Linked DNA regions of Macaca fascicularis. Each later gene encodes a partner of the first gene's protein in a complex. Links are inferred from orthologs where the notes say so. Each region holds a gene or a part of one and is shown in the gene's direction. Other genes may lie near its edges. The genes, in order: FLT1 and VEGFB.

Evidence for each region.
Region 2: the proteins of FLT1 (region 1) and VEGFB are in contact, whole or in part, in a crystal structure (PDB 2XAC), measured with the Homo sapiens proteins. The link is inferred for Macaca fascicularis from reciprocal best matches to the Homo sapiens genes FLT1 and VEGFB. Residues at the interface, in NP_002010.2 of Homo sapiens: Tyr139, Glu141, Pro143, Phe172, Pro173, Tyr199, Ile202, Gly203, Leu204, Asn219, Leu221, Arg224, Thr226; in NP_003368.1 of Homo sapiens: Ser37, Trp38, Ile39, Tyr42, Thr43, Thr46, Cys47, Gln48, Pro83, Asp84, Asp85, Gly86, Leu87, Cys124, Arg125, Pro126.

Annotation. Positions count from the first base shown.
Region 1 is NC_088391.1:8,249,191-8,252,992, reverse strand, and holds part of FLT1 (vascular endothelial growth factor receptor 1), read left to right. Parts: intron 1-2,579; coding exon 2,580-2,736; intron 2,737-3,167; coding exon 3,168-3,265; intron 3,266-3,802. UniProt on the Homo sapiens protein: Tyrosine-protein kinase that acts as a cell-surface receptor for VEGFA, VEGFB and PGF, and plays an essential role in the development of embryonic vasculature, the regulation of angiogenesis, cell survival, cell migration, macrophage function, chemotaxis, and cancer cell invasion.
Region 2 is NC_088388.1:10,159,688-10,163,922, reverse strand, and holds the start of VEGFB (vascular endothelial growth factor B), read left to right. Parts: upstream 1-1,190; 5' UTR 1,191-1,449; coding exon 1,450-1,509; intron 1,510-1,777; exon of another isoform or gene 1,778-1,937; intron 1,938-2,092; coding exon 2,093-2,135; intron 2,136-2,454; coding exon 2,455-2,651; intron 2,652-2,967; coding exon 2,968-3,041; intron 3,042-3,550; coding exon 3,551-3,586; intron 3,587-3,783; coding exon 3,784-3,997; coding exon of another isoform or gene 3,998-4,019; intron 4,020-4,235. Other genes in the region: DNAJC4 (dnaJ homolog subfamily C member 4), read left to right, coding at 502-976. UniProt on the Homo sapiens protein: Growth factor for endothelial cells. VEGF-B167 binds heparin and neuropilin-1 whereas the binding to neuropilin-1 of VEGF-B186 is regulated by proteolysis.

The DNA of each region.
Region 1 (3,802 bases):
AAAATGCTGGGATTACAAGTGTGAGCCACCGTGCCCGGCCTAATAATTAGAATCTTGAAGTTGGAAGGGATCTTTGTGATCAGTTGTTTCATACTCGCAGGCTGTAGATATGCTCAGAGAAGTCAAGTGATTGGCTTAAGGATTCACACCTACCATGAGGTGAAGTCAGAAGGAGAAAGAACTCAGCTGTCTTGACTCCTCCTCCACTGCCTTTTCTGTGCACCACACTAAATAAGGTGAAAAAAGTATAAGAAAAAGTGGAAAGTGGTGCCTTGGGCTGAGGGCAGTACAAATTCCCCTTAGTCCTGAAATTTTGGACTGACTTCAGGAAGAGCTAAGCCAGCAGAATACCCTAGGGACCTGGGCAGGATGGAACGTTTGGGTTTGTGCGTCCTTTGTTTTGAAGAGTTTGCTTCCTTCTCTGGCTATATTTAATGATTTGCCTCCCTGTGCAACTTGGTGGAGCTTAGTGTTTTTGTGGAAAATCCATGGCTGTCTTTCATATTTGGAAGATAAAGGTAAAGGAAAGACAAAACCAAAAGGCTAAATTGCAAATGGAATACTTCATTTTCCAAATAAATTAACTGGGATCCTTAAATATGGTTTGTAATAAATTCACTATATTCTGCCAGAGTCCCAAGAGTTCAGTAAATTACGTTTATTTAACAAAAGTGGTACTGATAAGCAGAGCTGAATATACCATTGATGGGGAGTCAGGAAGGGAGTGAGGGAGCCTGAGTTTTGGCCCTTGGGGACGTGCCTAGGCTGTGACTTCTGGGTGCCTTGGGGACGAAGGCTGCCCAGGGAGAGTTTTCACACGCAGAGCCCTGAGTGAGCATGTGGAGCATTTTTCTCCCCACACTATTGCCAGCGCTTTGTCTGATGCCTTCTGTCCCACAAAAGATCTTGTGAAAAATAAAATTCCAGTCCCCAAATGAACAGAATCCAATATAACTGCATTGTGGAAACACAATAACAAATAGTGAAAGTCTACCTGCCCTCAGGTGGGCTACCTGCGATGGCAGTGGGTATTTACTCTGAGGCCTGCCTCCCTCTGCAACCCTGGAAGGTCTCTTTTCAGGGACTGGGAACCTTGGTGCCCTTTTGGCTTTTAGGCTAGGTTAGGGCTGTCCCTCCGGAAGCTTTCTCCCTGTGCTCTGCTTGCTCCCACTGTGCCCTCTAGTGGAGGGATCGCTCTTGCTTTGTGACATTTCTAGAAAAGCCCAGGAAGGATGGGGGAGGCGGGCTAATCCTAGCACTGCCATACCATGCAAATAGATCAAGGGACACCACTGAACCCCAGTCCCTCTCTGCCTCTGCCTCTGCCTCAGTATTGCTGTCTAGCAGAATCTAAGTTAGGAACATGGTCTAATTATAAAGCCACTGAAAGTGCTAGGTTTTTAGAGTGTCATAGTTACTAGATGAATTACAAAAGGCAATAAAAATCTTTTCTGGTTTCCCATGAACACCCAGAACCGACAACTCCTTTCCTATGAATCATAAAATAATAGCATAATAGAGCTTTTCAGAAGAGGATAATGAAACTCAGAAAAGTAAGGTGACTTGCCCAGGATCACATGATTAATGGAAGAGCCAGATGAACCGGGGCTTGAATGCGCAGTCCAGGGTGAAAGGCCATTACTACCCTTGTTAGAATCAACTCGTATCTTTGTTTTGAATGGAAGAGAAAAAAAGCAATGTCCATGTTCCCTCCTTCCCCAAGGAAACCTGGGAAATTGGTAACTATAGCCTTCTCTTATGACTCCTCCTAGGGGTTACAGAGTGAAGCACCAAGCACACTGGGGATCCTTTCCTCTCAGTGATGTCATCCTTCACAAGATGGCATGTGGCATGGAAGAGTGGTTAAGGGCACAGACGTGGGCACCGACCAATCCTGGGTTTAAGCTTTTTTTTGAGCTGGAGTTTTGCTCTCATGGCCAGGCTGGAGTGCAATGGCGTGATCTCGGCTCACTGCAGCCTCCACCTCCTGGGTGCAAGCAACTCTCCTGCCTCAGCCTCCTGAGTATCTGGGATTATAGGCATGCACCACCATGCCCAGCTAATTTTGTATTTTTAGTAGAGACAGGATTTCTCCATATTGGTCAGGCTGGTCTCAAACTCCCGTCCTCAGGTGGTCTGCCTGGCTCGGCCTCCCAAAGTGCTGGGATTACAGGCATGAGCCACTGCACCCGGCCAGCTTTGCTCTTTATTAGCTGCATGTGAATTTGATTACTTTACTTCTCTGAACCTGTTTTGGAAACATTAAACAAGAAATGTACCTAAAGCTTTTAATATACCGGCTCACACAGAGCAAGCATTCAGTAAATACCCACCACTATTAATTTTTTTTTATCTGATCTAAGATGCTGTCTAGAAGCCCAGGCAAGAGCACAACAGACTCTGCAACCCCAGAGGTAGTCAGGCTCCTGGACACTGTAGGGCCTCTGCGCTAGTTCACGATCCATTATGAGAAGTGAAATGCTCTCATTTCTCATCAGGCAATTGCCAGTTGAGGGACTGGTTTCCCACTGCTGTGCTGGAGCTCCTTTTTACCTGGGTCCTTTTTGGTCTCTTCAAAGGATGCAGCATTACACATGGAGCCTAAGAAAGAAAAAATGGAGCCAGGCCTGGAACAAGGCAAGAAACCAAGACTAGATAGTGTCACCAGCAGCGAGAGCTTTGCGAGCTCCGGGTTTCAGGAAGATAAAAGTCTGAGTGATGTTGAGGAAGAGGAGGGTAGGTATTAATTCCTTCCTGTCCAACGCGCTGAGATATTTTTACAACATACTGTGCATCTCTGAAATTTTTTTCTTATTTATCACTCTAATAAACATCCGTGGGAGACTCGAATGGTAATGTCCTGAGGAGATAAGATTTGAATTAAGATTATTTACAGAGTTACTAATTTTGACAGGGAACTGTACCGTTTTCTCCCCTCAGGCATTTTCATCCTAATGGATCATCCCCCTGCCCCCATGCTTGGATAAAATGGGCTGGAGGCCTGGAAAAAATCTCTGGTGTTCATGTTGAAACTCAAATACTCTTAAAAATGAACTCTGGTCTACTTGTTGGTTTGTTTTATGTTTTGCTAACATTGTTCCAATAAACTGGGATTTGATGGGATAACAAGAGCCATTACAAACAGTTACGGTTCTAATGCTTTCCAGATTCTGATGGTTTCTACAAGGAGCCCATCACTATGGAAGATCTGATTTCTTACAGTTTTCAAGTGGCCAGAGGCATGGAGTTCCTGTCTTCCAGAAAGGTCAGTCTTGCTGTTCACTGTTTTTCCTTCTTTGCCAGGGTTGGACGCACACCTTTGCTATAAATTCATTTTTCCTAGTATTTGCTGATACCTGTGTTCTTTTTTTTTTTTTTTTTTTTTTTGAGACTGAGTCTGGCTCTGTCGCCCAGGCTGGAGTGCAGTGGCCGGATCTCAGCTCACTGCAAGCTCCGCCTCCCGGGTTTACGCCATTCTCCTGCCTCAGCCTCCGGAGTAGCTGGGACCACAGGCGCCCGCCACCTCGCCCGGCTAGTTTTTTTTTTTTTTTTGTATTTTTTAGTAGAGACGGGGTTTCACCGTGTTAGTCAGGATGGTCTCGATCTCCTGACCTTGTGATCCGCCCGTCTCAGCCTCCCAAAGTGCTGGGATTACAGGCTTGAGCCACCGTGCCCGGCTTACCTGTGTTCTTAAATGTAGAACAAACACCACTGCAAGTACCTTAATTTGCCCTGATATGAGGAGTTTTGAGAATGAGGAGTCGTGGATACCGATGGATAGAACTTAATTCTGGGGAAAACT
Region 2 (4,235 bases), on another chromosome or scaffold:
CCACTCCTGGCTAATTGTTTTGTATTTTTAGTAGAGATGGGGCTTCACCATATTGGCCAGGCTGGTCTCAAACTCCTGACCTCATATGATCCATGCGCCTCGACCTCCCAAAGTAGAGGGATTACTGGCGTGAGCCACCGCGCCTAGCCACGAAGCCGATTTTCTATAGCAAATACCTAAAGGCCAGTGCCCACTGCTAGCAGCCTGCCTAGTTCAGTGATGGAGTTAGATGCATACCCTTTCTAGTCTTCTGGGAGGAGCACCCCCATGTCCACAGCTGCTGTAACACCTCGAAGTGGCCAGGGACTTCGGATGCCATTGGACCCTAGACAAGCCAGGGCCACTCTGAGCCCTCCCTACCTATCACAGGCAGGGTTAGGCTGAGGTCCCTAACCCTGTGTGGGTTAAAAAGCTGTGAGGCCCCTAGAGTGGGGTGGAAGGGGGCAGGACTTCAGGGACAACAGGAATTCGAGTCCCAGGGTTAATTGTGACACATTGCAGGAAGGTGAAGCAGATGCACCTTAACTTCATGGATGAAAAGGATCGGATCATCACAGCCATGCACAATGAAGCGCGGGAGCGGGCGCGGGCCAGGTCTGTCCCTGCTCTATTCTGCCCCCTGCTCCCTGTCCCGGCACCACACTTCGGGATCCCTATCCCAACCACCCAGGTGCCCTCTCCTCCAGGGCCAACAGAGCCAGCCTTCAGCAGGAGCGACAACAGCAAAGGCAGCAGCAGCCGCCACCACCGGAGCCAACCCAAGTCCCCGAGATCGTGCCCCCGGGCGCCGGCCCCTGAGGGGCTCACCTGGATAGGGCCTGCAGTGCGTTCCCGCCTTGCTTCCTTCCCTGGACTGCCCGCTTCCCAAAACGCGTGCAATAAAGTGATTCGCAGAGCTAGTGTGCGGCTCCCTCCTTCAGGCCCGGCGCCCCCTGCCCCGGCTTCGCCGAGGGGCAGCGCCCCGCCCTCTGGGTAGTGACTGCCGCGACCCGGGAGCCCGGCCCCCTGGGCGGTGCGTCCCCTTTCCCCTGCAGCGGCGGGAGGGGGGAGGGGGGGTGTGTGGAGGAGGCGGGTCCCGCCGGCGGCCTCGCCCCCCCGCCCCGCCGCCCCGCCCCCGCCCCACGGCCCGGTGGGGAGCGCGTGTCTGGGTCACATGAGCCGCCCGCCCGCCAGCCCGGGCCCGGCCCCCCGCCGCCCCCGCCGTCCCCGCCGCCGCCGCCCGCCGCCACCGGCCGCCCGCCCTCCCGGCTCCTCCGGCCGCCTCCGCTGCTCTGCGCTGCACTGCCTGCACCCAGGGCTCGGGAGGGGGCCGCGGAGGAGCCGCCCACCGCGCCCGGCCCCCGCCCGCCGCGCCCGGGCCCGCGCCATGGGGCTCTGGCTGCCGCCGCCCCCCGCCCCGCCGGGCTAGGGCGATGCGGGCGTCCCCGGCGGGCGGCCCCCGCGGGCACCATGAGCCCCCTGCTCCGCCGCCTGCTGCTCGCCGCGCTCCTGCAGCTGGCCCCCGCCCAGGTACGTGCGGCCCGACAGCGCGCCCGCCAGCCCGCCCGCCAGCCCGCCAGCCCGCCGTGCCCTCTCTCAAGGTTGGCGGAAGTGAGGAGGCGACCCGCGGCCTCGGCCGGGGGGATCTGCGGGGTCCGGCCTTGGACGCGGGCGTCTCGGGGCCCGGCGCGTGCATCCCCTGGGAGGTGCCCCTCCCCGCTGGCCCGCCAGCCCCAGTCTGGGGCCACTCCTCCGCCCCACCCCGTCCCCTGGGCACCGCCGGGGGCGGGGCTCCCTCAGTGCTCGCAGGACCTGCTTCGGTGCCCACTGTGCGCGCTCCTGATCTGCATGCAGCCCCCAGACATGCTCGGTTCTGCGGCCTGGAGATTTGATGAGGCCGCCGGAGCACCTGTTGTGTTTTGGGCCAGGGCAGGTCCGGGGTGGCCAGGAAAGGACAGGTAAAGCTAGAGCAGTGGCCACAGGAACAGAGCAATCTGGAAAGATGTCAGAGAGGTGGTGAAGCCTCCTGATGCAAGGGCAAAGCCCCAGGGATGGCGACAGGGAAAGACCCTCCTAAAGGGTACCTTGGGTACAGGTCTTTTCTCTCCCACAGGCCCCTGTCTCCCAGCCTGATGCTCCTGGCCACCAGAAGAAAGGTAATACTCATAAAAACTCGGCACTAGCCAGCACTGAGAGGGTTTGTCATTGGCCCTGATTCCAGGTGCCTGGTGTCCGTCATCTTGTATAACTCCCCTAGAATATGCAAACTGTTATTCTACCCATTTCACAGAGGAGGAAATTGAGGCAGCGGGGTTACTGGGATCTGGATAAACAGGGCAGGGGAAGACAGGTTGTGAGGGCAGAGTGGGGAGGGCTACTGGAGGGTGGCTGTGACTTGGGGACTGGGGGGGACAGCTGCTGGGAGCAGCTGCAGGAAAAACAGTGAGGACTTAACCCCTACCGGTCTGCTCCCAGTGGTGTCATGGATAGATGTGTATACTCGCGCTACCTGCCAGCCCCGGGAGGTGGTGGTGCCCCTGACTGTGGAGCTCATGGGCACCGTGGCCAAACAGCTGGTGCCCAGCTGTGTGACTGTGCAGCGTTGTGGTGGCTGCTGCCCTGATGATGGCCTGGAGTGTGTGCCCACTGGGCAGCACCAAGTCCGGATGCAGGTACTGGGCATATGGGGCAGTGGGCAGGGGATGCAGGTACTGGGCAGGTGGGGCAGTGGGCAGGGGATGCAGGCACTGGGCAGGTGGGGCAGCGGGCAGGGGATGCAGGTACTGGGCAGGTGGGGCAGTGGGCAGGGTGGATGCTGGCTGGCTCTGGGGTTGGGGCAGCCTGGAGACTGAGGCACAGGAGGTAGGGTTGGGGGGAGGGCTGGTGGCCAGCCTCCTGGCTGTTGGGTGAGCTTTTCTCCCTCCAGCCTTAGAGCATCCCCTTTCTCTCTCTCCCTCACTGTCCCCCCTGTTCTTCTCCTGAGCACAGATCCTCATGATCCGGTACCCGAGCAGTCAGCTGGGGGAGATGTCCCTGGAAGAACACAGCCAGTGTGAATGCAGGTGCCAGCCAGGCCCAAATTCTGAGCTTACAGAGGCCAGGCTGGGGGGGTGCTGGGTATGGTGGTCCACAGAACTGGGGACCAGGTTCCTAAGAGTAGAGCCAAGGGTAGGCCTTGGATCTGGGGCAACAAAGTAGGATGGTTGGGTCAGTGGCTCACACCTATAATCCCAGCACTTTGGGAGGCCCAGGTGGGCAGATCATCTGAGGTAAGGAGTTCAAGACCAGCCTGGCCAAGATGGTGAAACCCCGTCTCTACTAAAAAAAAAAACAAAAACAAAAATTAGCTGGGTGTGGTGGCGGATGCCTGTAATCCGAGCTACTTGGGAGGCTGAGACAGAAGAATAGCTTGAACCCAGGAGGCGGAGGTTGCAGTGAGCTGAGACCATGCCACTGCACTCCAGCCTGGGCAAGAATAGGGAAACTCAGTCTCAAAAAGAGAGAGAGAGAGTAGGATGCTGGGATTTCCTGATCTTCCTCCTCTTTGTGTCTATCTCTCTTAATTTTTCAGACCTAAAAAAAAGGACAGTGCTGTGAAGCCGGACAGGTGAGTCTTTTGGACTCCAGCTGAGTGGGGGCAGGGGGAGTACAAGTGAGTCCGGAAGCTGTTGCCCCTCTTTCTCTTCCCACCTGTCCCCCGCTTTCCCTTTTCCTCTGCTCCCCAAGCCTGTGTTCTCTGTCCCGACCCCAGCTCCAGGGAAGACTCTTCCTTCCCACCCCAGACATGTCGCTTCTCCTCCCTAGGGCTGCCACTCCCCACCACCGTCCCCAGCCCCGCTCTGTTCCGGGCTGGGACTCTGCCCCCGGAGCACCCTCCCCAGCTGACATCACCCATCCCACTCCAGCCCCAGGACCCTCTGCCCACGCTGCACCCAGCGCCACCAGCGCCCTGACCCCCGGACCTGCCGCTGCCACTGTCGACGCCGCAGTTTCCTCCGTTGCCAAGGGCGGGGCTTAGAGCTCAACCCAGACACCTGCAGGTGAGGTGTCTGTAGGGTGGTGTTTGTTTGGGAAGACACCAAGGTCCTGTCCTGGAGCAGGTCCAGGGTGAGCCTGCCAGTAGGAGGAGGGCCAGGGAAGGGGAAACTGTTGAATGTGTTGAACAAATATTTACCAAGCAGCTGCTGGCACCTGGAGCTATGTAAGCAAGTCCAACATTGTAACTCAGGAGTCAGATACAGGAGGGACGGTGCCAG